Linked DNA regions of Struthio camelus. The protein of the gene in region 3 interacts with the protein of the main gene of each other region in a pairwise test. Links are inferred from orthologs where the notes say so. Each region holds a gene or a part of one and is shown on either strand. Other genes may lie near its edges. The genes, in order: ZYX, CDC42EP2 and CASS4.

The links.
Region 1: the proteins of CASS4 (region 3) and ZYX interact in binary tests that used the Homo sapiens proteins (3 or more experiments, as listed by UniProt). The link is inferred for Struthio camelus from reciprocal best matches to the Homo sapiens genes CASS4 and ZYX.
Region 2: the proteins of CASS4 (region 3) and CDC42EP2 interact in binary tests that used the Homo sapiens proteins (3 or more experiments, as listed by UniProt). The link is inferred for Struthio camelus from reciprocal best matches to the Homo sapiens genes CASS4 and CDC42EP2.

The regions. Positions count from the first base shown.
Region 1 is NC_090942.1:90,285,532-90,295,677, forward strand, and holds the start of ZYX (zyxin), read left to right. Parts: upstream 1-5,997; 5' UTR 5,998-6,089; intron 6,090-6,383; 5' UTR 6,384-6,540; intron 6,541-8,081; 5' UTR 8,082-8,230; intron 8,231-8,996; 5' UTR 8,997-9,156; intron 9,157-10,146. UniProt on the Homo sapiens protein: Adhesion plaque protein. Binds alpha-actinin and the CRP protein. Important for targeting TES and ENA/VASP family members to focal adhesions and for the formation of actin-rich structures.
Region 2 is NC_090976.1:823,678-833,225, forward strand, and holds the start of CDC42EP2 (cdc42 effector protein 2), read left to right. Parts: upstream 1-4,878; 5' UTR 4,879-5,078; intron 5,079-6,144; exon of another isoform or gene 6,145-6,384; intron 6,385-9,548. Other genes in the region: POLA2 (DNA polymerase alpha subunit B), read left to right, coding at 883-991, 1,627-1,733, 2,179-2,238, 2,790-2,916, 3,026-3,172. UniProt on the Homo sapiens protein: Probably involved in the organization of the actin cytoskeleton. May act downstream of CDC42 to induce actin filament assembly leading to cell shape changes. Induces pseudopodia formation in fibroblasts in a CDC42-dependent manner.
Region 3 is NC_090959.1:12,405,304-12,415,431, forward strand, and holds the start of CASS4 (cas scaffolding protein family member 4), read left to right. Parts: upstream 1-5,662; 5' UTR 5,663-5,949; coding exon 5,950-5,985; intron 5,986-10,128. UniProt on the Homo sapiens protein: Docking protein that plays a role in tyrosine kinase-based signaling related to cell adhesion and cell spreading. Regulates PTK2/FAK1 activity, focal adhesion integrity, and cell spreading.

The DNA.
Region 1 (10,146 bases), on a different chromosome or scaffold from region 3:
TCTTTACTCTGAGTGATCTCGGCTCTGGGTCCCTTTTCAGTGAAAATTTCAGATGTGGTCAGATAAGTTGCATTGCCTCTCCTAAGTTTATTCCATGTGCTTGACCCTTTGGCTTGTCTATCATTTTGTCTCAAGCTCACAGGCATATTCCAGGTCTTAGCGAGGGCACATTTGGCTTTCCTTTCCTTCATTGAGCTACATCACCCACATCACTCTGCTGTGACTTCTGCCTCAGGGTGTCATTCCACAGGCAGGCAAGCAATCCTAAAGCTTAGCCTGCTGGAAAAGCTGCTTTCCAGTTCTTGATGAGTTTCTCTTCTGCTGGTTTAGAGAGGTAGTAGTTTACACAAGGATCTGGCAAGCGCTTGTGCTGCCACAAGGTAAGCGTCAGGCATGCATAGCTGAGAGAGAGAGCTGGAAAGATGGAGGATCCCTCCATTCCGGCAGGGTGAACTGGCCATCATTCTTATGAAATTATACCCAGTGTCTGTTCATTCACTCCATAGAACTATTACCCCACTTCATAGATGTTTCACGTGTCTTGATGCACAAGCTCTCTTCTTTTTTATTTGGAATCAGTATCATCCAGTTGCTGGAAGAATCTTGTACGCTGGCTTGATATCTGCAGCCTCGCTTTGTCAGCTATTTTTTAACATCATCAGTTTAATCAAAGGATAGACTCGTAACTGTCTTTTGGTTCTTACTGGTACATTTATTCATTACGGACCTTATGCACATGAATCTACATTTTAAAAATAAATTTCATTCCATTAGAAGTTCAGAAGATTCGATTAGATGATGAGTATTTCTGAAACAGCTGGTTGGTTCTTCCATACAGTAGGTTTGTAGGTAACTCACTATGAGTGTACAGTTTCTACTTTTTAGTAAGCTAATACCTAACTTACTTCCTGAATTCAGTTAAAATATAGTATCATAGAGTAGCATAAACAAGTAGTGATTTTACATTCTGAAGAAATACAGCGGCATCTCAGGTATCAAATATGAGTGTTAATTGTTCTTAAGTACAGACTTTTAACATATACCACCGTAAGACAAGGGCCTACAACAGTCATACGCTGTGTGTGAGAGACATTTTTGTTGTTCCTTCCAACTGTTGAGTCCGATGACGATCAAATCAAAATGGTTGCCAGCAGGATTCTGGGTTTGCTACCAAATGTAGCAAGATAGAATTCTACCGGATTCCAGCCACGTCTGCTAATATCCTTCAATGGCATGTTCCCCACACAGGGCAATCTGATTTCCTGAGTATTATCCTGTACAAAGTGGGTAACAGGACTGAATCTTTGAACAAAGGATGAGAACAGAGCCTAAAGCTAACTGTCCCTCCACAGTGTCTGTCCTTGCTTTCCCTGAGCAGCATTATTTCTGCTGCAAGGCACAGGAAGTGAATGACAACAAATAAATTGTTTTATTTTACTTTGAAATACACTTTTTGACAAGTTCTGAATATTTTCCATAAGCATTGCAATTACTTTCTTAAACATCAAAGCTGTAATTTCATGTAGGAAAGTGTGTACAAAATATATATTGCACAGTGCTGACTTAAAGGCTGCTCTGAAAGATTTTTGTAAATGTCAGTTTTCACCCAGGATTAGGAGACAGGGAGAGGAAATGCAGATCTATTCTTTACAGATTTGGGTATCTGAGAGGGAGGGGAGCGATAGAAATAGCCACTTGCAACCTCCTACATGATTTGTATGATGGGCAAAATTCTGTGCCCCTCTGTTAATGCTCGGCTGTAGAGCTCCCCCTCCGCAAACCCTGTTAGGAGAGGCATGCTGGGCAGGCAAGAAGGACAAACCCGTCTGCTCTAGCTGTCACGAGTCCTTACATCGCTGCCCTTAGCAACTTCTTGTTTGCAGAGCAGAGCTTCAGGGCTGCTCTAACTTATTCCAGCAAGGTCAAGAATTCAACTGGTGGAAGAGCGACTTAAAACTCCTTTGGACCTTTTCTCCCTGCTTCCTGCACCTTACACCATGAATGCAACAGTGACACTGACTGAGATGTCATAGTAACCTAGATAAGCATGTGCTCCTCAGTGAGCACTACCTGGCTTGAGGGATGAATGCTGAGGTGAGTTGTGGAGTGGGGAACTGATAGGGATTGTCCCCTCCAGCGGTCTCATCCTCCCCTTCCTGCACACAGGCAGAGTGTGATCCTAGGTCAGAGCAGGGATGGTGGGGAGGAAGACATACTTCCAGCAAAGCTAAAGATAGTGGCCTCATGCCCAGGAGAGGGGTCAGCAATAGCAGAGAGCAAAGCAGTTTCAACAAGCTCTGTTTTTTAACAATTTGTTCCAAATCCACACTGAGGTGCTTCCAACATAACCCTTAACACAGACCTATGCTATAAATTGATAGCTGTTTGTTTGTTTGCTTTTTAAGAGCTGCCTGCTCAGCATTATTTATCTTTTCTAGAAAACAATGATGAATCACATCTACTAAATATATATTTCCAGATGTATTATAAATATAATATAAAAATCTTATAAACGCTGGAACAGCTTCTTCCTGAGAAACACTACTTATAAAATACAAAGCTATTGTCACCATCCCTACCTGCTTAGTAATTTTATTCATTTCATCAGTTAATTATTAGGGACATAGATTGTATCTCAGTAAGTGATATATGCTTTACCTTTTCCATTAGCTGCCCTTCAAACCACTTAAAAAGAAAAAAATTTACAAACATATATCTTGCCACCTAATGTTCCACTTTTAGCTAAAAATTGCCAATTTAAAATGTCATCCTACTGTCTATCATTCATCCTAATATTAGTTCCCATTTCCCATCCCCAAAGGCCTAACTAGCAACCATGTGTATCCATGAGCCATGAAAAGGCTCTGAAAAATGATTGTTCACTTTCTTTTCCTTCTCTGATCCTTTCTAAAATCCTTATTTAAAGCTCTGTGGCCTGACCAACTACTATCAGAGAAAGATATAGAGAAACTTTGGCCATGTTTCTTGCAAGATGCATCTTCAGCAATGGAAAATATACAGAGGCCTACTAGCTTCATGTGTAGAAGATATTTGCAAAAATAATATCTATATCAGATCTATAGAGGCAGGAATCACCCTCCAGGGACTGTTGCTCCAGTATGCTTCTCTGCTGGCCTTCTGCCACTGGCAATATAGATTCCCCAGTAAATGTTTCTGCTGGCAGAGCTCTCTATAATTGCTTCATAGAAGTAATGGAGTAGAAGCCACAAGAGTTAATTCTGCATCAAGCTGTATTAGCTACTGATAGAATTTTCATGTGGACTGAAGAGGAAATGAGATAGCAAAATGACTCATACCATTCTTTCTTGTTCAGAGCTCCTTTGGTGCAGAAGAGAAACAGAAAGGCTTTTTATGAGATTCAAAGAATCAAAAAAGCATCATCAGTGTAGTTCAGAACCTGAAAAGGTTGTAACCTGTCTGACATAAGTGGAAGACTGGATCCTCTTAAGTTGCGAAAATATTTCAGGCTGTATAAATCAACTGAAGATTAGAAGGGACAAGAGGTAGAGGTACAGGCATAGGATATGTTTGCATTACACACTGGGAGTATGAGTGAGCTCATGCTTACCTACACTCGCATCCAAGCAGATGTGATCTTGTTCTGCCTGCACCTAGAGTTCATAAAAAAACTGTATGAGAGTGCATTCGTGTGATGCTGAGACAAAACTAGTCAACCTACCCTCTCAGGAAGAGTATTTGTCAGAAAATCCTCATGGTGCTCAATAGCATTTTCCCGCATATTACTGAAGGGAACTAATGGTGGTCACCAAAAGATTATCTTTCCTCTTCCTCTGCATGAGGAGTTCTCGGAGTGGCTTATTCTGCCAAAGTAGAGACACACCTTTTGGATATCTTGGAATTATCTATTGACAACTGAGCACTGCTGGGATGTCCCAAATTAAGGACAAACTTACTCAGAGGGATGAAATACTTCAGTGTTAGCCAGTTACCTTAAAATTACACTTATTTCAACCCAGGTTTAATTTTTTTAAAAAGGTATTTATTTATAAAATTAAAAAAATGTCCACAGTGGAAAGGTATGGCATCCCAACACATGAAGAGCAGGCAATTAGTGGGCTAGCTGTAATGTAACAACAGACAGCACTCCCACACCTGCTCTGCTGCAAGATCCTGGTTGTGTGATCTAATTTGGTAGTGCTCCCTGAAAGAACAATCAGCTTTCTTTGAAAAACACAGGTTTGGCATGTTGGTACACATCTGTATAAATGTTCAATATTCAGTGTTCACCACTTTTAGCTTCTCAACTTAATTTCACATTGGTGGTGTTAATTTTCTCACCTTACCTTGATATTTGCCTTCTATTAGTTTTTCTACAAGATTTATAGCTTTCTTTGCTGTCAGAACAACACTGCTGCGTTGTAGCTTTTTAATAAATGTATTACTCTCCCAACATCTTCATCCATGTCTGATTTTGATCTAGAGTCATGTAGAAGTGTGAGGTTCTGCTCTATATATACAACATTAGATCTCATCTTTCATACAGTTCCCATTTCTAGACTTCACAGAAGATTCACAAAAGAATTCACCATCTGGAACTAGGATGATGCAGTCTGTTCAGTTAGCATTTCGGTGATGCATGTGTAACACACTGACCTACTGCAAGTGATCATGTATCGCCTTTCAGTTGGGCAGGAGGAACCATTGCTCTGTGGAACTACAGTTTGGTATTACAGAATTAGTAAGTCTAGCCTGCTTCATTTGCTGCAGACTTCACCCACTCAACATCGTTCTGGCGGGTCTCTTCCATAAATCTATTCTGCCTCCTTGTATGTACATACCTTGTCTCTGAAAGCAGCTATGTGCATACTCGCATGGAACTGAGACTGGAGGTAGGCAGGGCCATGCTGTGAAATTCTGGTTTCTCTTGCCATGGCCTGGAGCTTTGCAAGTGATGCATTCAATGGGGAGATGAGTGAGCTCAAAGAAAAAGGACTGTTTTCCACCCCCACCCTGCTGGGAAGGGCTCAGCAGATGCCAGGAAATGAGAAAAAGGGATAGGGAAGTCCGGGAACATAAGAGAGGGAACTAGGTGAATCTGTGGTAGGAAAACTGAGAAGGCACAGGTTCCTCGCCATCTAGTAGTTAGTACTTAGAGGGAATGTCTGAGGAGTTGGAGAGTCAAAAGGCGGAGGTGGCATGCACTTGGAAAACAGACACCACCAACAGCATAAACATGAGCTGTATATTAGGGTGCCAATATTTTTGGTAGGCTCTGAATCCTATTTGGCTTTTTATTACATATGCTTCATTCCCTACTGAATATCTGATTCCCAAACAGTGAAACATCAGCTACTTCTAAATGTCAGTTGAATCTGTACTAGTGGTGTTGCTCAAACTGCATTTTTAAAAATAGTCTTGAAGCAGCAAATGTGCTTTTTAAATTCTCAGTGTTATGTAAAAGGCACAATATTTTTAGCCTTACAAAATATCAGTTGTCATCTTCTCACTCTCTCTCTTTGGTATGTAGGGGATGGGGACTGGAAGCTCTCAGATTATACATAATTGTTTGCGACACGGTTTTGGAGTTACACAAATCTTAATAAAACATTTTTTAAAATACCCAAAAGCTTAAAATGAAGTCTGAACAAAGAAGTTCTTGTTCTTTGTTATTGGTATCTCTTATTATCTCTTATCCCTTACAATTTACTGTATCTCTTACTGCAATGGAGAAATGCAGGCTGTTCAGTGTTCCCCTTCCCAAAGCAAGTGGACAACTGGAGCTGACCAAGGAGGCTTCTTTGCTTTCAGGATGTTCCATCTGAGAAGGCTGTCATCATCCAGTGCCTACCTATACATTGTGTGGATATCATATATGGATGGCTCTTGCACTGTTTTAAATTTACCATACCCTCGCACAAATCTACAATCTTTACTGTTTTGCTTTAAAAGCCTGTTTTCCATACAAGTATATACTTTCTTTTCTATCAAATCTCATTTTTTGTTTTATATTTTTAAGATAGAGGCTTGATGGGCAAGATTGGGAGGACACTGTTTTAGAGACCATGGCCATAAAGGCAGACAAGCAGGAAGCAAAAGGATTATTGCTGGTAGGTCCCAGCAACTCTTTTTATGAGGTTGAACACCAGGTGTGAAAGTGTTGGGAAGAAAGCTGTTGGTGGGAGGCCCAGTTATTTACAAATAGCTTTGTAAATACCCCATTTATTTATTTTGGCAGCAGTAAGTGTAATGCTGTCTCTGGAACCATCAGTCACTCTGCAGAAAATGGTTTGATAGGGCTTCTCTCATAACATGGCCCACCCTGTTTTCATCAGAAACCTGATGAGATCCCACTGGCACAGTTTCACAGGCATTTTTCACTGCCTGCTGTTCCCAACTTTCAGCCAGGGCTGTTGCAGACATCACTTGGGACTCAAGAATCCAAGGGAAGAAGTACATTTCCATAGGAAGCCTGACAACTGATGATCTCCATGTAGATTTCAGCCAGCCAAATGCATACCTAAAGCTGCTTACCTGGTAACTGAAGTGTTTTGGATAAGGGTAAGTAAAGATACCAAATAACTTGTTTCATGAGCCATGGAAGCAAAGGGTCAGGAGGTGTGCCAGGTTACCTAGGAGATATGGTCATCCTGTTGACCTTCATCAAGACAATTGGAAAATGCCCTGGTTGAAGGAAGTGCCTCTCCAGAAATGCACATCAATAGCTCAGTTGTTTAATGCTATGCCTCAAGTCCTTGTCCAGGCCATCTACCACTGATAGCGGTGACAAGCAGCGATGGTTCAGGTTTAATAGAAGGAAATCCCTTCTCATTGGGGTAAAATACCAATCCAGAAATTAGGCTATGCCTCTGTCACCTCAGCACATCTTTGGAGAACCAAATGGGCAAACTGTCAAAGACTTTGTAGTATGAGATAAACCACTTTTTGAAGACCTCTCCTGCATTTTAAACGGCAGCTGTGGCTACTGAGCTCTCAATATTACACAGACTATCTACAAAGTGCTGAGAATTGGTGGCCTGTAGCTACTACTCTCCTATTCTCCCCAGCCAGTAGCTCTCATACAGCGCTTGATCACGTTGCTAGAATTAACTTAGCAAACATCTTCTGTAAGGCCTTTCACATCGTTATGTTTTCAACCTACTGAAAATCATAATAGCTTGAAGGACAGCTCTCTCCCATACATTGTCACTTGTCACAGACCTGTAGCTGGTACTGAAAGCTGGTACTCCCTTGCAAGGCCCTGATAATTACACCCCCAGCCCCAGGAAACAGTCCAAGATTTGTGTCTCGTCTGTAATCATCCTCTTACTCATATTGGCAGTAAATTAATCTGCAAACATACTAGTAGCCACATGTACCAAGCCTGGCAACTGCAGAAAACTCCATACAGCTCCATAGTTCCTGCTTTTGCAAAGCAAGGCCTTGAGGAACTGCACCACTTAAAGTTGTGCTGAAACTGTGTTTTATTGTGCAGTTTGTAGATAGTGTTTTTCTTAATATTTTCGGCAAGCAGACTGTCAGACCGGGTGCCTATATTGTTTGTTTCTTGTTTTGCTCCAAGGCCTTGGTCCTTTCATCATCTATACTATGCACATTTTAGTTTGTGTCAGGACTTCAGTCTGGACTAAACCAACTATTTATTTTGGTGAGGCTCAAAAGAGAGGGTAGTTCACTTCAAGGTCCACACCTCTATAGGACTACACCAAGTTTCATTCTTCCTGCCCAGAACAATCTTCTTATGTACTCCTAGTGTTCTCACAAGTCCAATATGCTTTCATGCCATGCCCTGGCACATGCATTGCACATCTTTGTTAGTCTGCTACAAAAAGAGAAGATTAGCAGTCTGCAAAGCCACCCCTCCTTATTTAGCTGTGGGGCTTCTTCTGCAGCAAGAAAATAATGACACTCTGGTAGAAAGGGGCCACACGGAGACTGGAGAGATCAAGATACTATGCCAAGGTAACGTTGTTGAGACTGCCTATTGTTTGGCTGTAGCTCAGCACCTCTCTCCCTGCAATACTGAGTTGCACCAGATGCTTCTCTGGGAGGCCACCACAGAACTTCTCCCTTTGTATGAGCAGGAGGAAGCTCAGAATGAGACCCAGGGGAGTTGAGAGCCTGCTTTTTGCTGACTGGATCTGGGGGAGGAACCCTTTTTCAAGGATGACATCCTCCCACACACACACATACTAAATCCCCTAGCATGCAACTAGCTGTGCACCCAGCTCTGGTGAGTACATATCTTTGATTACACTTATTTGAAGGAAGGAGCATAGCATATTTGTGCCGTGCTTAGGAGAATACACTCCATACCAATGAGCAGACAGGAGACTTCTGCCACAAAAACATGGCACTTAGAAAGAGTCTTGTACCATGCCCAGGTACAAGGGCATGCCTGGCAGGCTCCCAGGTCTGTTTCTTTGACGGACAGCTCTGGCAGACAATATTTGTGCATAACAACTAAACATGTCACAACTTGTCTTACTGGAGGCAAGGCATGGGGCATAAGGTTGTGGATATGACAAGTGTATCAATGCTTTCCAAGCATAATTGCCTCTGATAGGCATCCATACCCAGCCATACACATACCAGCCTTGTCCCAATTCAGCTGCGTCCCACTGCTTTCTCCAGTCCTTGGCTGACCATTCTCAGTTTTCTGGAGTCACAGAACAGCTCATACTCCAGCTGTGGGGAAGAGATATCCACTGGAACAGCCTCCTTGCTTTCTTAGTCTCTCAGGCCCAGAGCCCTGCAGCAGTGAGCAGGAGGGAGAACACTGTGAGAGAGAGATGAAGGCCTCCAATGAGCACTCCCAGGAGCCATGGAAATGCAGGCCCGCCATCCTGCTGAGACATGGACAGAGGCAGCATGGACCCTTGGGGACAGGAGCCAATGGGACAGAAGTGGGACTGAACCCAGTCGGTTGTTCAGAGACCTCTCTAGGAGAATTCATGATCTTTGCAAATAACATTCTTAACTGCATGCCATTTTTACAGATACATGAGCATGATGAGGGTCAGAAGGACTGGGGGCTCTGTGGTCTCCAGTGTGGGCCTCTGCATTTGACTCTATGGCATCCAGCACTCAACATGCATCCAGCATGGAACTGAATCACTGCACCCTGACACCTCCTTTCAGTGAGGAGAATGAGGTCTGGTAAGTGCCTCCTCCCTTTCCTGCACATCAAGGCAGACTGTTTTTGCAGCGTGATGATACCTATGTAGTAGCTGCTTGCCTGACCCCATGCAGGTGCAGCATGGGCCTGATCTTCTCTGTACCTCTTGGCCTGAGGACCAGAGCAGACCCATTATATATTCCTAACTCTTGCAGTAGGCCCAGATATAGTATTTAGATATGATAATATAGCACAGGATAAGCGTATGAGTAGCAGCTTAGCATAAATCAATAAAATGTAGTTAGACTAAACAGAAGTTACATGATCAAAAAAGTATCCGAGATGCAACACAGATGTGAGACAGGACTTTTTGTTGGGCAAAAGGATAGGAAAAATATATGGACTGCTAAGTAGCACTACTAATTGTTACCTAGTTAAGACTGAGATAAAGTAGTATTACTATATCCATTGATATAGATGAAAACTGTACAGATTCAGACATTTTATATTATTAACATAACAAAAGCATCCTGTCCAGCGTCCATGTTGCTTTCTTCTGACCTCGAACCTATTATCATCACAAAGATTCCCATCCACAGCTACCCGAACCCTCTTGAAACGTAGTTGCTGAATCTAGGTAAGATTTTATGCCCTAAAAGTTTAATTCCCTATTAGCATACCTGGAATCCTTCCTTTTGCATTCAGGGACTTATTTTTTTCTTCTCTTACCTCTATTCTCATTTTCATTTTGTAGCCACCTAATCACTGTTAGCATACTCTTCATCTCAGTGCAACACATGTATTTGCCATATCAGTTCTGTATTGCATTAGTCTTTATTTACTCATTGTACCACATGACTGAACTGCCACTTAAGATTCTTTATATCTGTTTACATGAAAAATCTGTCTCTTTAAGGTTCCTAGGACTCTCAGAATTTGCCAGATTTGGTTTGATGGCTGACACTGGGGCTTGCTTCTTGCCACCAATCTCAAAGAAGCACCCAGCTAGAACTTTAGATGTTCTAAATCCT
Region 2 (9,548 bases), on a different chromosome or scaffold from region 3:
TTCATACTCGACTCCCAATTTTTTTTTTTTTCCCCTCCCCTCGGTGCCCCGAGAGCGCTCGGGAACGATCCGCGTCGTTCCGCGGCGGCGCTTCTCCCCTCCCGGCGGTACCGAGGCGGGGAGGAACGGCGCAAACAACGAACAAACGAGGCTTTCTTCCCCGCCGGGGCGAGCGCCGCGCGCTGCCAGCCTCTTTCATCCGCTGCCAGACTCCGGCAGCGGCCCCCGCCTCTCTCTCGGGAAAACATCGCAGCCCGACGCCGCGGCGCCCTGATTTTAGGAGCGCGGACGCTCCGGGGCGCTGGGCCCTCCGCGTCCTGCCCGAGGGCTCCTGTAGAATTTCTCCTTTTCATTCAGCCGAATTGACGTTTAAATCAGCCGACTGGCTTGAGCTTTCCGTGCCTCGCGCCGAGGCGCTCCGCTCGCCCTCTCGTTAGGCGAAAACGAGGCCTCGCACCCCAGGATTCGGCTTTTGAGGCCGGATTCGTGGCTCCGTTGCTTGTAAACATCTCCGCTGAGAAGTGAGAAGGAATTGCGATCTCTGGGAAACCGGAGCCCTTTTTGTGGCCGAATCTGGTGTAAAAAGTGCTCCGAAAACACGGCGCGGTCCGAGCCTCGGGTGTGGGGTAGCTCTGCTGCCGGCTTCGCAGCTTGGGTGGGAAAAGGAGATAAGGGGATTTTGGGGGCTCGAGGGGGATTTTGATCCTCCCAGAGCCTGTGCCCCCGACGCGGGGCTTTCTGAGGCCGCCCGGCCGCAGCTCGTCCACCCGGAGCGGGCGCCCGCCGCGTTTCGATGCCTTAAAAGCTGAAGCGGGAGCGGGCGACCTGCGTGGCTTCGGCTCCCGTTTTCTCCCCCGTAACGGGTCGCTCTCTTCCCGGCAGCGCCGGCTCTCAGCTCGTCTTCGTGCCGTCGCTGCGGGACGTTCACCACGACTACGTGTACCCGCAGCCGCCCTTCGCCTACCCCGAGCTGCCGAAGGAGGACAAGCCGGTAACGTCCTCGAAATCAAACCCGTCCTCGAGCGAAACGGGATAACGGGTTTTGGTCGCTCGTTTGGGGCGAAAAGCGGCGTCTTTCTTGCGGGTTTGCCCTCGGCCTGTAGAGCGGACCCGTCCGGAAAGGACCGGCAGCGGTTCTCGCTGGCAGGATCCGCTTGGGAGCTCCCTGAGGAGCAAAAATCAGCGGAGCTCAGGCTTCCCGGGAGAATCCAGCTGCGATTCACTTTATTTCTACTCGCTCGCGGGTGAGAAAGCGAGAGCGCCAGGGAAACCTCCTCTGACCAGGAGGAGGAGCTGGGAACGGATGTCCTGGCTGCTCCTGCCCCTGTGTCCCGCTCGTGAGGTCGTGGGGCTCCCCGAGACGCGGGGAAATAAGGAATGCCGTAAAAGATATCAAGATGGTTTTGCCAGGAAAAACGCATCGTTTGAGGCGGATTTGTAGAGCCCAGCCCTACGCGTCTCCTAACCCTCTTTTTCCTAATTTAACGCGTTTCTGACCGAGGAGCTTCCACGCCGCTGTCGTGGCGTCGGGCGACTCCCCAGCCCGTCCCTCGGGTTTAGACGGATTCGGAGATGCCGGCGGCGCCCTTGCCGGAAAAACCCATCGCGTCCCCCTTCTCGTTTCAGCGCGTCCACTTCGTCTCGGACCCCTGCACCCTGGAAATCAACGGCACCGTCTTCGGCTTGACCTCCACCGACCTGCTCTTCCACATGGGGGCCGAGGAGATCAGCAGGTGGGCGCCCGGAGGCGGCAGCGGTCCCTTGCCACGTTTTCGCGGCGGGAGCTGCCGAACCCAGACCCAGACTCGCCGGGTTTTAGCCGCTCCTGCGGAGAGAAGCCTCAGCCGCTCCCTCCGGGGTCGTTTCGCTCCGTTTTGCCTCTCTGGCATCCCGCCTTGGCGAACAAAATGCCACCGGCGTTTCTCTGCTCGGGCTGTTTTTCTCCTGGCGCGTCGCGCTCCGTTTGCGGGGCTCGGAGGAAGAGCTGGCCCGAGCCCGCGGTGCTGGGCAGAACAAAACGCTTCGTTAGCCGCTTGCCTGCGTCGCTAATCAGGCCCGCTGGCTAATTGAGCGGCGCAGCATGTCAACAGTGACCTCACAAACGAGCTTAAGCGCTACCTTTTATTCCCCCCCCCCCCGCCCCGACTCCTTTTATAGCTTGTTTTCGGTCTCTTACAGCTCCTCGGGCATCTCGGACAGGTTCACGCGGATCCTCAAGCACGTCCTGACGCAGAGGAGGTGAGGCGAGTTCCTGGATTGTCGCCTAGCCCTGCCGAAAAAGGGCAAAACAACTGAAATGGCGCGCTGCCGTCCCTCCCGCCCCGCTTAGGGTGACGTTTTTCAAGTCAAAATGCTCCTTTTTGAATTCGATAACCCTCTAGATGCGCGATTTGGGGGTGCTTAATGCCGTACGTCTTCCAGACCGGCCTGCGCCGTCCCGCAGGACGCAACTGGGTCGGATTTTCCAGGCCGGTGTCCCGAGAACGGCCGGTAGCAGATGCCTGAGGACGGGGTAAAAGGAATAGGAATAACTGCCCACTCCGGAACGATCCGGTGGTTTTATGGCTCTCCAGATTAGCTCCGAGCTCCCGCTTGTTCCCCTTGAACAGACTGTAAAAGAGCGGCAGCTGTACGCTGATGTAAATTTGACCCAAAAGCTATGTTCTAACACCAAAACTGAATCCGGTTTAACGCCCAGCCGGCTTCCTCCGCCGTGAGGAGGCGTCGGCGCTCTCGCGATGCCGGAGGACGCGGAAGCGCGGACAACCTCTCTCTGCTCTCTCCGGCAGTTATTACCCGCTCTACCCGCCCGCGGAGGAGATGAACGTGGACTACGAGAACTTCTACAGCTACGCGGCCCTGCCCGTCACGCCGGACGTCCTCGTCGCCCCCTCGGAGCTGAGGTACTTCGTCAAGGTAAAGCGGAGCGGGCTTTGTCCGCTCTCCCGTGCCGAAATTCCCCCTGGGAAATTCTCCTTGGACGTAAGCTGGGATCGGTTTTAACGCGCCGGCTCTTTCTCCGCAGGACGTCCTGGGCTGCGTGTGCATCAATCCCGGCCGCCTGACGAAGGGGCAGGTCGGCGGGACCTACGGGCGCCTGTACGTGCGGCGGCACGACGCGGAGGGGGAGCGGAAGAGCCCTTGCGTTGCCGCCCAAGTTGTCAAAATTTAAGCCTCCGCTGGGCGGAACGACGGCGGGAGACGGGACGAAGCCGATCTCTTTGGCCCTCTCCCTCCGCGTAGCCTCAGGACTGCTGCTTTCGGGCTGCTTTTTTTGTGTATTTTGGCACCTGCAAAAGGAAACAACCAAACGCCAGGTGGGTGCTGGAGTTGGCCCGAGCGTGGCAGGAGCCTCCCTTGGCGTCACCTGCTGCCAAGCTGGGCTGTTCCTTCAGGGAAGCAAATAAAATGCACTTTGAATTTTGCGTATAAAAAGAAAAAAAAACCGCAATGCCCTAACGCAATTAATCTGTGGGTTTCGGCGCTTTGCGGGGGGGAGTTGACCCGATTAGCCCCCTGGATTTGCGTTCTTTCCCCCCAAAACTGAACGCCAACGGCGCGGAGCTGGGTGCCCGCCGGCGCTGGGGAATTTGGGTGCAGAAAGTGCTTTTTAAATTTTTTTTCCCTCCTCCCTTTTTTTTTTCGCCTGGATATTCACGACGCCTTACACCAGCGAGGGGTTGCACAGGCGGCCGTCTCGCTCGCTGGTCTCCTGCCTTCGGCTGCCGTGGCGATTACAGGCTGTGGGAAACCGGAAAAGAAACCTCGTCAGTCGGTGCCGAGCGAGGGAAACCGCGTGCTTGGTCTTCCCTCGCTAATTTTTCCGCCTAATGGGCTTGCCGTCCTAATGAGCGCTAGCTCCAGCCTCCGCAGCGTCCTTAAAACTCGGAGCACCGCGAGGGCAGCGTCGCCTCTGCCCGATACCCGAGTCCTTCCCCGAAGGGTTGTTGGTCGCCGCTCAAAGTGTGAGACTGTATTTTAAAACACGTCAGAGGGTGGGGGAAAAAATAAAGACAAAACAGAGCTAACAGCCGCTTTCGGCCCTTTCTAGCGACGCTTCAGCTCCGCCACGGACAACTCTATATGCGTTTAACCAGCCTGCGCATGTTCCGGAGCCAGGTTTGGGCTGGGCTTGGCCTCAGTTTCCCTCACAAAAAGGGTGTTTTTAGCTAAAACGCGCGAGCTGGGGCGAAGGGTGCCACGTCAAGGGGGAACTCGGGGCTTTTCGCCGGGGGGGGATCTGAGGTGAACGAAGCACCCGGCGTCGGCTGTTGCGATCCGGTGTCCTGCCCGGAGTGTCTCTTGCCTCTTAATCACACGCCACCAGCTCCTCTTGAGGAGGCTAATCTGCAATTTTAACGAGCGGGGGATCCGGCCGGGAGCGTTTTAACTCGGCCGCGTCCTTTCAGGCCTGACTCCGAACTCAAACCGGGCTGACGTTTAGTTCCACCCCTCCGTCCGTGAGCTCGCGGCGGCAGAACGAAACAGCCGGGCTCTTTCCAGCGCCACGTCCCCGAGCCGAAACTTAATTCTGTTAGCTGGGAAACCGGGGGGGGGGTCGAATCGGTGGGAATTCCCAGGGATTATTTTGGATGGATGAGTAATGCCGCTCCATCCACGTTCGCTCCGTAGGGAATCCTCCCTTAGCGGCTGGAGTGGACGCAGCTTTTTATCCCGTTTTGCGCTTAATCCCCCCCCACCGCCGCCGTCTTGCGAGTCCTCCCGCCGGCAGCATCCGATGGGGAAAAGCCGTGGCGACGGGCTCCTGCGAAACGCTGCTGTTTTGCTGCCGGGCAGTCAGAAAGGCTGGAAAAACGCTACCGTTCTCGTTCCGTTGGCGGCGGCCGAGGCTCCGTTGAGAGCAAACGTCGGCACCGGGAGAAGCGGGGAGCCGAGGCGGCGCGCTGGGCCCGGGGTGGGGCTTGCCAGGGCTCGGGGCCGGCCAGCGCCGTCGCTCCAGCATTGGCCGGGGCGGCGAGGGAGGGAACAGAGCGCCGGCTGGATGCGGCTCATCGCAGTCGGGTGCGCGAGATCGCAAAAGACGGGAGGAAGACGAAGGTGGCGGCTCGGTGGCGGCGGTGAGTACCGGGGAGGCCGGCGCCTTGGCGGAGGTTTCGGTTTTCTGGTTGCGGGGGTGGCGGGAGGGGGACGCACGCCAGAGTGGCGTTTCCCTACGGCGAAGCCCCTGGGGCATCCCGGCTCCTGAAGCATCCCACCTCCGTCGCCCGCAGAGCGATGCTCCCGTCCCCGCCGGGAAGGCCTGCTGCGGTACCGGCCCGTTTCCCTTCCCGTCTCCTGTCTCTCTTCCTGACTCCGTGCGGCGCCTCCGTTTCCCGGCTTGCAAAACGCGGCTCGTTCCCGGAGCGCTGCCGAACGGGGAAGCGATGCGGAAGATAAGCTGCGCGTGTGCCGGGGAGGGACGCGGCTTTTCCACGCTAGGAAGGAAGTTTTTGTTTCTCCGGTCGCTGCTGTCATGTTTCCCCCCTGCTTCCCTGCCGCCACCGACCCACGAATCCAGTCCTGAAATCCCATCGTGCCGCTTATCTCATCCCGTCTGCTTGCCGCCAGCTCCGAGACCCTCCGTGGCGTTTGCTTTCCCAGCGGATGAATTCGGGAATCGGCACAGCTCGCCCGGAGTCGAGCTGGGGCACTTTTTTTTTTTTTTTCAACCGAGAAGGGAGGAGGCAGAAGCAAATTCTCGCCCGCTGGAGACGATACCGCAGCCGAAATCGAATCCAGCCTATTTTAAATCTGGGGGGGGGGGGGGGATCGCTTACGTGTTATCTATAAAAAGACCCAATTGCCTCCTTTTTTTTTGCTACCGATCCAGCTATGCTCAGTGCGCTGCTTGGTAATTTTAGCAACCAGCTGTGAAGTTTCTACCCGGCTCGGGATTAAAACGAGCTGATTCGTGATCCTTGAAATAGATATCGCGCTCGAAACGCCAGCGGCCGGATCCTCCCTGCCCAGAGCGAGGCGGAGGAAAGGATCGCGGCGTAAAAGCGCGGAGGGCCCTGGCAGGTTTTAAATCCGCGGCTGTGTCAGCATAGCTGGGAAGGCGCCGAAGATATCCGGTGTCGGGACTTTGGCTCCGATACAGGGATATCGGAACGACCTGTGCCCTGCTCCCACCCAGATCCATCTGCTTCCGAGGAAGATGAAAAGAAACTCGGAGCAGGCGATTAAAAGCTCCCGCGTCCCACCGGGGAATTCCCGGCTCTCGCCCCCGCCGCCCGGGGAAGGGCTCGGCTCACGCGTCGGCTTGGGTGGTTGTTGCTGGGTTCGAGCTGTTCCCGTAGTTTTTCCAGGGAAGGATTTCAGCCCGTAGCCGCTCCAGCGGGAATCGGGGCAGGGAATGCAATGAAGCTCCCCGTCCGCTCAAAGGTGGGGTTGCCCGGCGAAGGGGGGAAACCGAGGCGCGGAGCTGGGGTGCGAGGCGGCCTCGCCCGAGTCGATCCGCGCCCCAAACCGCCGGCGGATGTTTCTCCGCCCGGACGCGGCCGAGCCCGGCGAGTCTCCTCAGCTACGTCGCGGCGTGTTTTCGGCTGCCAGGGAACGGGCTGCTGCGCGCGGGAGATGCCCGCTTGGGCCACGTCCTGCAACAACCAGAAGAGACCAATTCTTCCCTGCGGGTTTCCGTGAGGGCGGCGCTGGGCGACGCGGGCCAGGGTCGCAGCAGCCCCCCCACCCCAAAACGCATCCGCCAGGGTTTTTCCCGCTGCTCTGGAAGACCCGTATTCCCCATCCCATCGTGCCTCCAGCTCAGCAAGGGGATGCGCGTTCACCTCCCCAGCAAACATCCCTCTTTTGTGCTGCAAAGGTGAAACTTTTTTTTCTCCCCCCCAGAAGAGGATCTGCGACACATGCAGCCTTCTAGCGGCTGCTGGAAAGAGCCTCGAATGAGGAATCTCTTCCCAAATTTTGTTTTTGTTTTTTTGCTTGTGCATCTCCTGGCGCAAGTCTTTTGCGCTCCTCTTTTAGGTCTGCTTTTACACAAGGTTTTCCCCCAGAAATAGCTGCATTTTACCCAGGTGACTATCCTCCCCCCAGCTCTCTCAGCTGATCTAATTCAAGCTGTTACCTCCCCCTTGAAGGTACCTAAATAACGAAGCTGACTAATAAATGAAGCTGATAGGGCACCACCCTGGGGGAATACACCCAGTGCCCTGTTCAAATGGGCTGCCAGAGCACAGGAAAGAGGCCATTGGGTTGAGCGGATATTCGGAAACGTTTGCTAGGAAGATAGATAGGAGTTACCGGCTTCGTTTTCTGTGGCAGTCATTAACTCTTGTCCTTGCTCACTTGATTTCTGGACCCTGGAGTGTTTTTCACCAGACCTGTGCGCCCCTATATAATGAATTTAAGCCTTAATTACCTTTTTGTGGACCCTTTATAAATAGTCTGTGGAGCTGCCAGGGTTCAGGGTTGAAAACTTGCTGCTCTGTCCATCGGTGAGAGCCTGAGAAAGTTCAGGAGCGGCGGCCCTCTGTGCCGCGTGATGAAGCGTAAGTCCCTGCAACCGGATCAAAAGGAAACAAGCTTTACGCCGGGTGCGGCCGTGGGAAATTAGCTAAACGAGCTAATCTTAACACAAGCTGGGAAAAGGGGGCGGGTGCCGCGGAGCTGTTGCAATGAGCGCTCCCCGAAACGCGTGGTGAGACGCTAGACCTCACGCTTTAGGGCTCGAGTTGATCTCTGAATTATTAGAGACGGCGATGAAACCCAACGTGGGAAGCAGATTAACTGGCCTCTATTTTGGGGGCCTCGGATCCGCTTTTGGAGCGTTTGGTGTTGCCGCTGCCTGGAGCAGGGAAGCTGAGGGCTGCAAAGAGGGAAGAAGTAATCCAGTCTCTGTATCTGCCGGGTTGGCAGGACGAGTCCCGCTTCGGGTCCGTTGAAACTCTGCCTTTAAATCGCAGTCGAATCGTGAAGCCGTTCCTCCACAGCTGGGACGAAACCCCTGGGAACTCGCGCTGCTGCGAAAACAGATTCACTGGGCCCAAATTTCCCTGAAAAAGGGGGGGGAAAGTAGATTAGCGGTGGAACAGGTTGCCCAGAGGGGTTGGGGCATCTCCTCGGGGAGGTTCGGAGCAGGTTGGGCCGATGCCTGTCGGGAGCGATTTTGGGTGAGCTGATCGCGCCCCCAGACAGGGGACGGCCCGCGTGGTTTCGCGGGGTAGTTTTGATGACACGCGACCCTCTGACTTTCACCTTCCTCGGAGTTTTGCGTGCTCAAAAAGCTCCCGATCGGACTGTGAGGAGGGTGCGAATACTTTTGGCACCACGCAAGCAGAAAAGGAGAACGATTTGGGTTTTGTTTTTTTTTTTTGGAGTGATTTTTCCATTTGAATAGTCACAAGTGACACCGGTAGCGCAGCAAGAGCTCCAGGACGGGCCCGTGGAGGGACGCGAGCGCCGAAACGCCGTCCGGCGAGCGCAGGACCAGCGCCGGAGGTCTGAATACCCACGCGAACCTGGCGCGTCCTCCTTCCCTCCCCGCGCTCGCGAAAGGCCGCCTGGCAAATCGTGTTTGTGCAGCGTCTCGCTCAGCTGCTGACTCAGGAGCTGGCTGACCCCATCTGCCGCGGCAGCAGGGACGGTGTTGTCCTCGTTTTAAAGACGGGGGAAACTGAGGCACGGAGCTGTTTGTAGCGACGTGCCCGAGGCTATCGAGCGAGGCATGAGAGCCGTGGTGTTCTGCGCTCCCGGGCTCTCTCTGCGAGGCAATAACCTCTACCCGGAAATAAATTTCCGGGGAGATAAGCGCCCAAGGTGTTTTATCCGTAGGGAGCTGGTGGCGGAAGGCAGCCGTCCCTCTCCCTGCATCCGTTTCGGGGGTCTCCACCTCAATTTCGGGGGCATGGCGCCCTTCCCGCAATCCCTGCATAAAGGGGGATCGCAGCCAGGGCGGGGTTTGACTCGCAAAGGAATTTTTATATGCAGGGAGGGAGCTTTGCGAGGGGAGGAAAACCCAAAAAACTCTATTTCCCTCCCCAAAAGGAAAGGGAGTGTTCGATGAGCTGGAACTAGCCCAGTTCCCCACCCAGGGCCAGATGGCCTGCGTCACCCTGCTCCTGACCCCCGGAGCACTTTTTCCGCAACAAAGCATCTACTACTCCTTTTTTTGTTTTTTTTCCCCCTCCCCTTCTTTCTCCCTCTTTCTCTCTGTGCAGCCTGCCAGGAATCCTATTTCACAGGGAGCTCTCCCAGGACACCTGGAATTTTGTCGTACGTTAACCGTATCGGGGTGTTTTTAAACAGGATTTTTAACTCGGGTACCTCCCATCGAATGCTGAGGAACGGCGGCCCGGCGAGTTGTCACCCGCCGATCCGTAGAGACGAACGGGGTACGGCCCAAAGCGCGGCGTTCGGCGCCAGAGGGGCCTCACGCGGAGCGGGCGCTACGAGAACACACGGAAATAAGTCAGCAGAAATAAGTTATGGGGTTATTGGAAATAAGTTATCGGAAATAACTTATCGGGTTATTCTGCTTCTCTGAGCAGCAGGTTTCCGACCTCTTCCCCACCTGTCTTGGATCCGCGGCAGCG
Region 3 (10,128 bases):
GTATTGATTGTACTGCCAACAGATGCCTAGATGAGAGCCATGCTGTGTCTGTTTTTTAATTCTGTCAAATGCGACAGAAAAATGCCAGAATACTGAGACTTGAGTTTTCGCCCCACACTAATTTTTTTTATTAGTGTGCGTATGGCATTAATTTTTTTTAAGTCATCTCTAGTTGTACTCAAGGGAGGGGAAGGGGGAATAAAATGATCCTTGCAAGAAGGATTAAACTTGTTCTCCTATCTCTAAATCCTGTGAAAGATAATGTGACTGAATCTTGCTCAAACTGGGCAGAATGAGCCAGTTTTGCTCTGCATTGTATCTGTGCAATCCCACTGAGGTCTGTTTAAAGAATGGATTACACAAGTAACAGCAGAACTTGGCAAATACTTTAATGAAGCCTTAAGCTGCCTTCAGTTCTGATTCATGCTTTGTAAAGCTCTATTTTGTATCTTTTTAGTCTGTTTTTTGGTGGGGTTTTTGTTTTTTGTTTTGTTTTTTAATTGGCTAAGTGGACCTTCAATTCTGAGCCAGTCTTGTGCCACAAGAATTTGAAACACAATTTTAAATGGTTTAGATGAATTCCAGAAATGGTGTTCTAGTTCTGATATTAAAGCTCAGACCTGAAATCTTGTCTTTCATTTGAATTTATCTTAACAAGTGCAACTTCAAAGGAAGCTCACGGTATTTTCAAGGAATAGCCACACTGCAACTGTAAAAGGCTGGTGTGGCAGTGCCGCGCCGTGTGAAGATGACAAGAATAGTTTTGCCATAGAGACCTACAGTATCCCCGCAAAGAAATAAATTGTTGCGCGTTTTGATTTTTGTGTATGTACCTCAGCAATGTCATTTCATTTTATTTAGAAATTTTTATTCTGTAGTTGCTCTGTATTCAAGAGCACTTGAATGACATTCTTTTTTTGATTCAAAAATCCAAAACAGTTCTATTTATTTGTAATAGTCCAAGTTTCCCAGACATCATATTCAGCAGATGTACAGATTAAGATCCTCTGTGCTTAAGCCTTCTGTAAATTTGAAAATTCACTACTGCTCACAGATTATCTTGCCTGTGCTAGGCTTCAAATATGTTCTTTCAAGCATTCGGTCTGTGGCTCCAGTGATACAGTACTCCTGGGCTTCACAGTTGGGAGACTTTCTTCGGTCACAAGCTCAGCACTTGCTTTCGTTAGTATTTTCAAATATTAGATTGTTCTTACTGATGAATTAACTTTCCATTGTCACTGATGAAGTATCTTGTCAAGGGCTGAAAAGGGTAAGGTTTTGTCTGTATTTAAATAAAATTACCTTTTAAAAAGTTATTTAATATACAAAGAAGGAATTGTATTAGTTTTCTATATAACAAAAGGCAAGCGAATTAAATATCGGAAGGATCTCTTTTGGGAATGTGTTATAGCTTGATGAGTCGGTCTGTTGCATTGCATGTGAACCTGAAATAACTAGAGTTACGGTTTGGAATGTAAATGTTCTTGTTTTGTTTTTTTCAGGTAGAGAATGCAGTTTAATTTTCTCTTAATTTGTTCTGCACAGCAATAACTTTTCCTTAGAAATCTTCTTCCCTGCCTCCCTCCCTTCCCCTGTTGTTTCCCTGCCCGCCAAATTTTTAGAAGTGTGGGAGAGAAGAGATAGTGGTTTATGTGGCTTTTCTGGTAGAGAAGGAAGGAGAGCAGGGAGAGGCAGGGCTTTGTGGGAGGGAAAAGGGAAGTCCTGCAACACGGTTATTAATGCCTGGTGAATTAGCTCAGTAATCCCAGACCTCTAGTAGAGTCAGCCTGCTAAATTGATAGCAGTGGTAGTTTTTACTAGGCTCCTGCCTTCTTTTCTTCTTTAATTCTGTTAAAGACGCTGCCCATAGGTAACTCATTTGCTACTGTTACCTGGACTTGTTTATTTTTAAAATATAACTTGGAGGTTTATTTATTAAATGACTGCTGTAACTGATAAGATAGCAACCTACTAGCTTTCACCTCGTGCTTTCTTAGGTCTACGGTCTTTTAACTTGTAACATAAAAGTAGAAGCTTGTTCCTTAAAGCAAAAACATACTGAAGTGAACCCTTTTCTTTTCATATTGTGTATCGTGTTGGTTGAGGCCAGGGGCTTCGGTCTGGGGAGGGAATTGTTCAAGGAAATAAAGACAGGAAAATACTTACATGGGATAAGTAAGTTGATAATGCAATCACAGAGTAAAATACTTTCGGAGCGCAAAATCCCGGTGGCGTTATGTGATGCCTGGAGGTGATTGATCTGGGATGAGAATGAGAAGACAAGTTTGCTATATAAAAAGACAGTGTTCAGAGCAAGCATGCTTTGGAAGTACTGTGAAGCGGAGCTACAGCTGCATCTTGAAGAACACACCTAGTCTTTTTGTTAGATCTGCACTTGATTGAAGGGGAACTTGTCTTTCAGTGTACAAATCTGGAGGAATCTACATACATGTTCTTTATGTGATAGATAAGACTTACTGGTCAGAGAGGCTTCACACCTAGAAGCTATATTTGATGCTCTTGGCATGTAGATGGCTACAGGTGTCACCAGTGGTTAGGGAAGAGAGGGATGCAGAAATCTGAGATGAATGGGAGCAAGAAGGGGCTGATGAATGGGAGCAAGAAGGGGCTGCTGTTTTCCTTCTCATATCTTATCTTCCCGACTATAAGGGGACTAGAAGACTGAAGCCATGTATGAAGTCAAGAGAAAGCAGAGTGTACAGTTGTGTGTGTGTGTTTAACCACTTTTGGTGGTTAGTGTCCTTTTTCTCATACTGGATGCTTTTATAAAGGGAAGGCAGAATGAGATGGTATATTTCCAATTCCCACCAGAAGGCCTAAGGTTTGGTGTAGGTTGTTCTTGTTAAGATACCTCTTTCAGGGGGACTTTACTTACTTTGCTTACAGTAGAGAGTTACACTTCTACAATCCTTAGCATGGGTATGATTCCATCTTTAAGCAATACTATTGTAATTGCGTGTTAGCTGCTGCAGAGGAGGAAAAATGAAGTGCGTTTAGCTGCAAGATATTTGTATTGATTGATCAAAATGTAGGTAATTGCAATAATGTGCTTTGCTTTTCACAGTAAGAATAAGAGATTGGCCAAGCTTGTTACCTTGCTCCATAGCTTAGGCAGGTAGTTCAAAAAATACTTCCCATCCTGCCTTTGAACAAACACACTCAGAGGTAAAGTCCAGACAAACTGACCTGCACCTTTTCAGAAACACTATTTGTTGTTACACTATTTGTTGTTACCCTTGTGCTATAAGCATCTATTAAAATAGCCCCTAAAAAAACGAACAAAAACAAACAAAAACCTGCTCCAAAATTTGGATTGGTCTTAGAGTGAGTTTTGGAAAGATCAAACGATGACAACTGTTTCTAGTGCTCTTTCTAGTCTTTGTAGGATAGTACAAGTGTCTGCTGAACTCATCACTGCTGTGAAGCAGCTTTGATAGTGTCTTTGGATCATGGATCTTACTAACAGCCTCAGAACAGCTCTGTTTATCTGAACAAAAACAAGAACAGCCAAACCTTGCAACTACAGTACTGACCTTTCAGGTGGTCTGTATTGGAATTGCTCTTCCTTGAAATACTCTGAGTAGCGTTAAGCAAGCCTCAACCTTTTGGAATAATATAGCTGGTGAAGAGAGCATCTTTGCCACTGACTTCTGTGATAATAGAGAGCAAACCTGGTAAACCTCTTCAGATGAAGCATCTTTTTCTGGATGTTTTAGAAGCGTGTCCTGTTCCCAAATCTGCATTTCCTCCCTGAGCAGTTCAGTGGCATTCTAAAGAGGGTTCCACAAGATAGGGGAGGAAGGGATTCGGGGGTTGTAGGAAAGATTTATCCTGTCACTAATAAATGTTCCTCAGTACTCTTAAGAGAATGAAGAGCGTTATAGGATGGAGCCAGCTGTCTCCTCAAGCTATGAGATGTATGTGTATATTAAATATACTTAGTCGCTAGCCCTGTACCTTTGATTTTCAGATGTTCTGTTGTTATATCCTTCCAGAGTCTTTCTTTTGAGGCCAATAACTTTTCAATTCTACTGTTTTAAGCTCTTTGTTCCTCAAAGCTTAAGGTCAGCTCTGCTTCCCGGTTAAAGAGGAAGCAAATGTGTAAGCAAGCCTTTGTAAAACAGACCTCTTGCCCAAGGCCATCAGCTGTCAAGGGCTTTGAGCATCTGATAAAGACAGTAGTAACCCATTGCCCTTCGAAGAAAGAGTGATCTTCTATTAGGCAACAGCTTTGACTCCCCTGTGAGGGTGCTAGTTGAATGATAAACATCGCTCTTCCATCTTTTTCTTAGTTTTGACACGCCTTCATTTTACAAAGAAACATCTGGCCAGCCATTCAGGTTCTCATCTCTTTAGTCCTTCTGCACTATGGAAGGCAATTGCTGATTAGTAATTGTAGCCACCCAGCTGAGGAAACTAGGAAACAAGGCTTGCTCATGTTCTGATGATGGGCTTTTTCAAGACTTCAAAATGCCTATCTGTTTGCCTTCTTGGACCGCTGGCTTGAAAGTAGACAGAGAAACATCCCCTGGATTTTACCTGTTCTTCGCGCAGGGGTGGTTTGAAATTAGTTTCTACTGATCAAATAAAATTCCAGTGCACCTGCTTGCCCGTCATCAGTTTTGTCATCTGTACCTCTTGGTACCCTAGCAAGCTCCTCCGCTCAGGGAAGCACGTTCGCATTCAGGATTTATTATCTGCTCAGGAACGTTTCCTTAACCTGTCAGATGTATCCATCTAACATGTAAACTCTTCTTGCCACTACTCAGAAGAGACTGTCATGGAAAAGCGTTGAGGTCGTTTGACAGCTAAAGCGTTAGCTCAGCAAACCATGCCTATCTAAAAGCAAAACACCTTTGAGGACAAATCATAATCACGGTTTTGTATCTTTTTGGCCTTTGGGATTCTTTGACACAGTGACTTGACAGCCTTGTAACTGGCACACAGATCTAGGGAAGGTCTTTCCTAAAAGGGCACTTGTGCAATTAGACTTGTTTACCACCAACAGAAAGAAATTTCAAACTTTCTACCTAAGAAGGGTACTGGTCTGGGACATACGTTTTTCTCATTTCCTGGACACAGAGGTCATCTGTCCACCAGAGCTGCCCTGGGATACTGTGAATCCTGATAAAAAAAAATGAAATGCAATAAACCAGGTGATCGTCGTCCAGGTTAGGAAGTTCTGGCATGTGGCTGTGATGGACCCTCCAAGCGAGCTGCACCGCAATTGCTCCACCTAACGAGCATAGTGCTGCAAACTGCATTTACAGCCCACACCTAGTTTGTGTGTGTTTAAGCCTTGATGCAGCTTGAGGGAGTCTTTTGTAGTGAATGCAGCCCCAGATATACAGGGTAAAACGTAAAATTTCTGTCATTTCACAAAGCCCCTTCTTTCCATAACAAAAAATTGTATAGGGTGTTTTAGATGGTGAGACAGCTTTGAAAGACATTAAAAATTTTGCCTTAGAAATCCTGAATTAATATGATTGTGGCAGTCTTATTTCTATCAAGCATTGTGCAGCCTCTTGTGGTACGTAGTATTCCTGCAGTCACTACATTTCTAAAATAGGAAATACAGGAACATGTAGCAAAACAGAAGGGTGAGACTTCTGAGTGTGGTTAATTGCGACAAGTTGGTGACAGAGAGATCAAGGAAGATTCCGCTTGCAGGCAGACTTTCTTCTCAGTGCTAGACACCATTAGGGTTTTTCTGGTTTATTTTCTTTTTAATCTTATCTGTTGTCGCAGAAACTGTCTTTCATGAGAGTCTTTTGTACAACTTCCTAAATGCTTTTAAGGGTATAGCTGTCAGATGTGTTTTCTTGAGAAATAGTTCCTGACACACTGTGACTGTACAAAACTGAGCCCTCTTTACCCAGTAGTAGTAATCTGCATTGCTCAAAGTGACACTGCTGGTGAAAGACAACAATGGACAAAACCAGAAGAATCGACAGAACTGCAAAGGTATGTCTAGTTTTCAAGTACAGCACATAAACGATTAAAAAAAAGTCCTAGTGTAGGTTTGATGTTTTGAATTCAAAATGATGCTTGGTGGTATTGGAAATGTTTGGTATTCTAATCCTGAAGTGGAAGGAAGGTTTGTTAGGATGCTAATGCGCCTGATGTACCTCTGTGCTTTTTGTTGTGACAAAATCGTTAACTACAGGAAATGCCTTTTTGGAAAGGACTCTGAATAAAGTAGGATTCTCAAATAGTAAACACCTGTGAATAAACAAATTTGTGAAATAATAAACATATACTTCCAAGGTTCCATCTGCCTTACTGCCATCCAGTAGTAACATTTGATATGTGATTATATTGTCAGAGACTTACAGCAGTAGTTCAGGTGACCTATTTGCAGAGAACTTTCTTACATAAGAAATCAAACAGTAGAAAGTACTGTTTTGTTTGTTTCAAAAGACTGCAACTGGTTTATAAGTTTTTTGAATTTATTCATTTATTCTTATTGCATCTAATATAATTTCATATACATATATGGATAAATTAACTTGCTGGAGCTGTAAGGGCCAGAGAATGCTGAAGTCTTGTCTCCTAATTCACTGCTTTGTTTCTCCTGCTGTCTGCAAGCTTCGTAAGCAGCGTAATAGAATTATTTTTTTCATCTTGGATTATCATCTCAATATTTACTGTAAATAAACTGCTGGCTGGAAATTTGAAACAAAATATAGTGGAAAAAAGGTTAGTCTCAGCTTGATGAGCCATTTAACATTTTCCACTGAGGTTTGTAAAGATAAGAGGACAATTTTTCATGTTAAGTCAGCAGAAACTGATGGAAAACATTTTTCACCTCTATTCCAGAGAACAGAGTATTTTTTCAGTTTTCTTAAGTGGCTTGCTGACGTTTAAATAAATGTAATGGTAGCAACCTGATCTCCAGTCCTGCTCTGAGATCCTTAGGCACAGCCACAGCACACAGGGGAAATAACAACTGGAAAAGTCAAGTTTCTTTCTGCTATATCATTCATGAGCTGTTTATAAGGTTCCCACTATCCTAGTATCAGTACATTACTGTTTATCGTAATAGCTGAATGCTGTACTTAATACACAAATACTAAGGATGTGTTTTTTTGTAGTATCTGGACTTCTTGAAGCACCGTGTACCAACCATCAGTAGCTTTGCTATGACAAGTAACACTTTGCAATTCTTGCTGTGCTCCAACTGTTCCATCTTTGCAAGATAAATTCTTTCTGAAAATGAATTCAGTGTATGATTGCACCCAGAAAAATGACATTATTTCTTCGTTATTGTGTATGAGCCAGTGACAAAGTCTGCACAGGAAATATTGCATGTCTGGGTGCAATTTAAAGCACGGTTACAGAACATGCGCGGGAAACACTTCTCTTACTGTTTGACTGTGCTGTTACCAAAAGAAAAACAGGAGCATGTCTTAACTACAGATTAAGTTGGTCTGAAATTTGTCTCTTTTTCCCAAATGCCCAGCTTACATATTCTGGTCTTGTCCATGCACAAGTGCATGAACAACAGTCTTTCCACACAGTCTTCCAGTATTCAGCATTGGTAAAGGCTTCTGGTGGACTATTGTGTGAAGTTTGCCACGTCTCCAGAAAAGATACGGACATGTTGGAGGAAGTCAAGATCAGGGCAATGAGAATAGTCAGAGAAATGAAAAACAGGGCTTACAGGGAAAGAGTGAAAGGACTGGGATTTCACAGCCTAGAGAAGAGAAGATTGGAGGGAGTCACAGTGTTCAAACACATAAACAGCTGCTGTAGAATATGAAAGGAGCAGGTTGTTCACTGTGTGACAGGGTAAGAAGAAATAGAATTTAAATTACAGCAAAAGCGATTCAGCTTAGATGACTGGAGAAAGAGCAAGGATAACAATAAGCAGATGCGAGATGTGAGATTTGTTTCTGTGAGCCCTGTCTGCCCTTGGGAATATGTCCGCCTGGAGCTAGTTGACTCAAAATGCCTACAGCTGTGCACCCAGACTCCACCTCAAATACCTGGGAGCAGGGTGTCTCAAAATAGGATTTGCAACAGTTAATGTATTGAGCAAGGAGGTACTTAAATAGCCAACAGGAAATGCTGGAGAGAATAGCGAAGTTTCCGTCTTTCTGGGCCTCAAATATTTAATTTGGGAATATTCCCAGGGAAGTCAGCTGGAAGTGAACTCAGTGCCCATCTTTCCCTGGGGAAATCTGAGAGGTAAAACTTCAGCTCTGTCATGGGCAAAACAGACTTGGCTCAGGGAATTTTTTCTTAATTTCATTTATTGTCAGTTAATACAAACTTACAATTGCTGATTTGGGTATTGAGAAAAAAAGAAAACATAAACAATAAGCAAACACTTAAATAAACACCTTTCCTCTCCCTTGCCCTGGCTCAGCTTAAGGCAAATGCTTCTCCTTCCCCATTCCTAGTCTCAGTTTGCTTTATTTTCACCACGTTACGCTCAGTCCACCCCAATTCCTCCAGGGAGGCGATGGATGGCGCAGGAGGTTGGGATCAGCATGTAATGGTCTGCCACCCTCCTGGGATTCATACTGCTTTTCCTCCCCTCCTTCATGCTTCTTACTGTCGCTGCTCCAGCATGGTTCCTTCATGGGCTGCAGCTTGCTGCTGGTGTCCCCATCCCGTGGAGGGTCACCCGTGGGCCGCAGTCCCTCCAGGGCAATGCATCCCTGAGGCATGGAGCACCTCCTGGCATGAGCGTGTCTCCTGTGAAGCATGTCCTCAACCATCTCTGCCTCCATGTGTCTCTTCCAGCATCTCCCACGTGTCTCCTTGCATGTCTCCTCACATGTCCTCTCCCACTGAGCCTTCCACTCTTTCTTTAATGTGTTTGAGCAGAGATGTCCCATGCTTACTCGCCTGGCTGACGTTCTGGCGCGCGATGGCACCACTGCAGGCCCTTGGTTGCCAAGTCCTGCCACATGTGCCCGGCTCTGTACCTGTGCATGTACTGCTTGGGTGCTCATGCTTGAATTAGTTGGGTGCTCAGCATGAACTAATGGGGCATTCATGCATGCATGCTGGAAGCCCTGCAATTTATACCCAATTCAAGCTCCAAAGACTTTGAGGGTTATACTCTTGGACTAGCTGCCTAAATTTAGGGGGAGTGGTAGGGATTTGGACTGTAGTATTTAGAATTTGGGCTGGTACCTGCTCGCCTTTATCTCCTAGGTGTGCCGAAGGCCAGACGCTCTCCATCTTCTGCGGTGCAATGTCTCTGAGCTATGGCCATGGTGCTTTGATGGGGCTGGCAGTGGGGTCGGGTGGATCCATGGCTGCAAGGACGAGTGCTGCAACCCCGGGTGGCGAGGGGCATTCGCTTCGCCACATTGCAATGCCTAGCTGTCACCAATTTGATGGATCACCCAAAAGCGGTCTTGTGACCGTCTTGTGACCTCTAGTTGCAGCCTTGCTACTTGTATTTCTAGACTGTTACAAATGCTGGTAGCACCTTACAGATTTCAGGGTAGTAAATTAACGGTTGTTCTTTATCCATTGCATGATGTGGAGTGTTCACACTAGTAAAAGTGCTGGCTGTAATCATAAGAAAAAAGAAAACAAACAACATCAGAAGGCATTCAAATGAATTGCCTAGTGCCAGGTAGTTTTCTGCGTTTGGACAAATGTATTAGCTGTTTGTCTGTTCCTAGCCTGTCCAGTTGTGCAGACTTTGTTGAGAAAGCATTTTCAATTCAATATTTTCTATTCAAGATACATTCCTTTTCTGCTTACTTGATTGTGGGTTTGGGAGCATGCCTAATTTCATCCTGAAGCTACTACAGAAAGAGGAAGGAAAACACTGTAGCTAGAGAAAAGGCGGGATGAGTAGGGCAAAACCTGCCAGTGACAGTGTGCAAAAGCAAAGATATTAAAAAGTAAAGAAGCAGTATAATCTGCCCATTTATATAAGCACAACCTTGGCAGAGCTGTTGTTGAGCAGATAGCAACAAAAACAACAATAATATTAAACAATATTATTGTTTGATAGTATTAAACAATTTTTTTTAATTAAATAATTTAAAAACAAAATCCATTACCTGCAGTTAATGTTTAGCTTTCCTCTCAGGTTCTGTGCCTTTAAACTAGGGGAGTCTTTTGCAGTGGTTTATG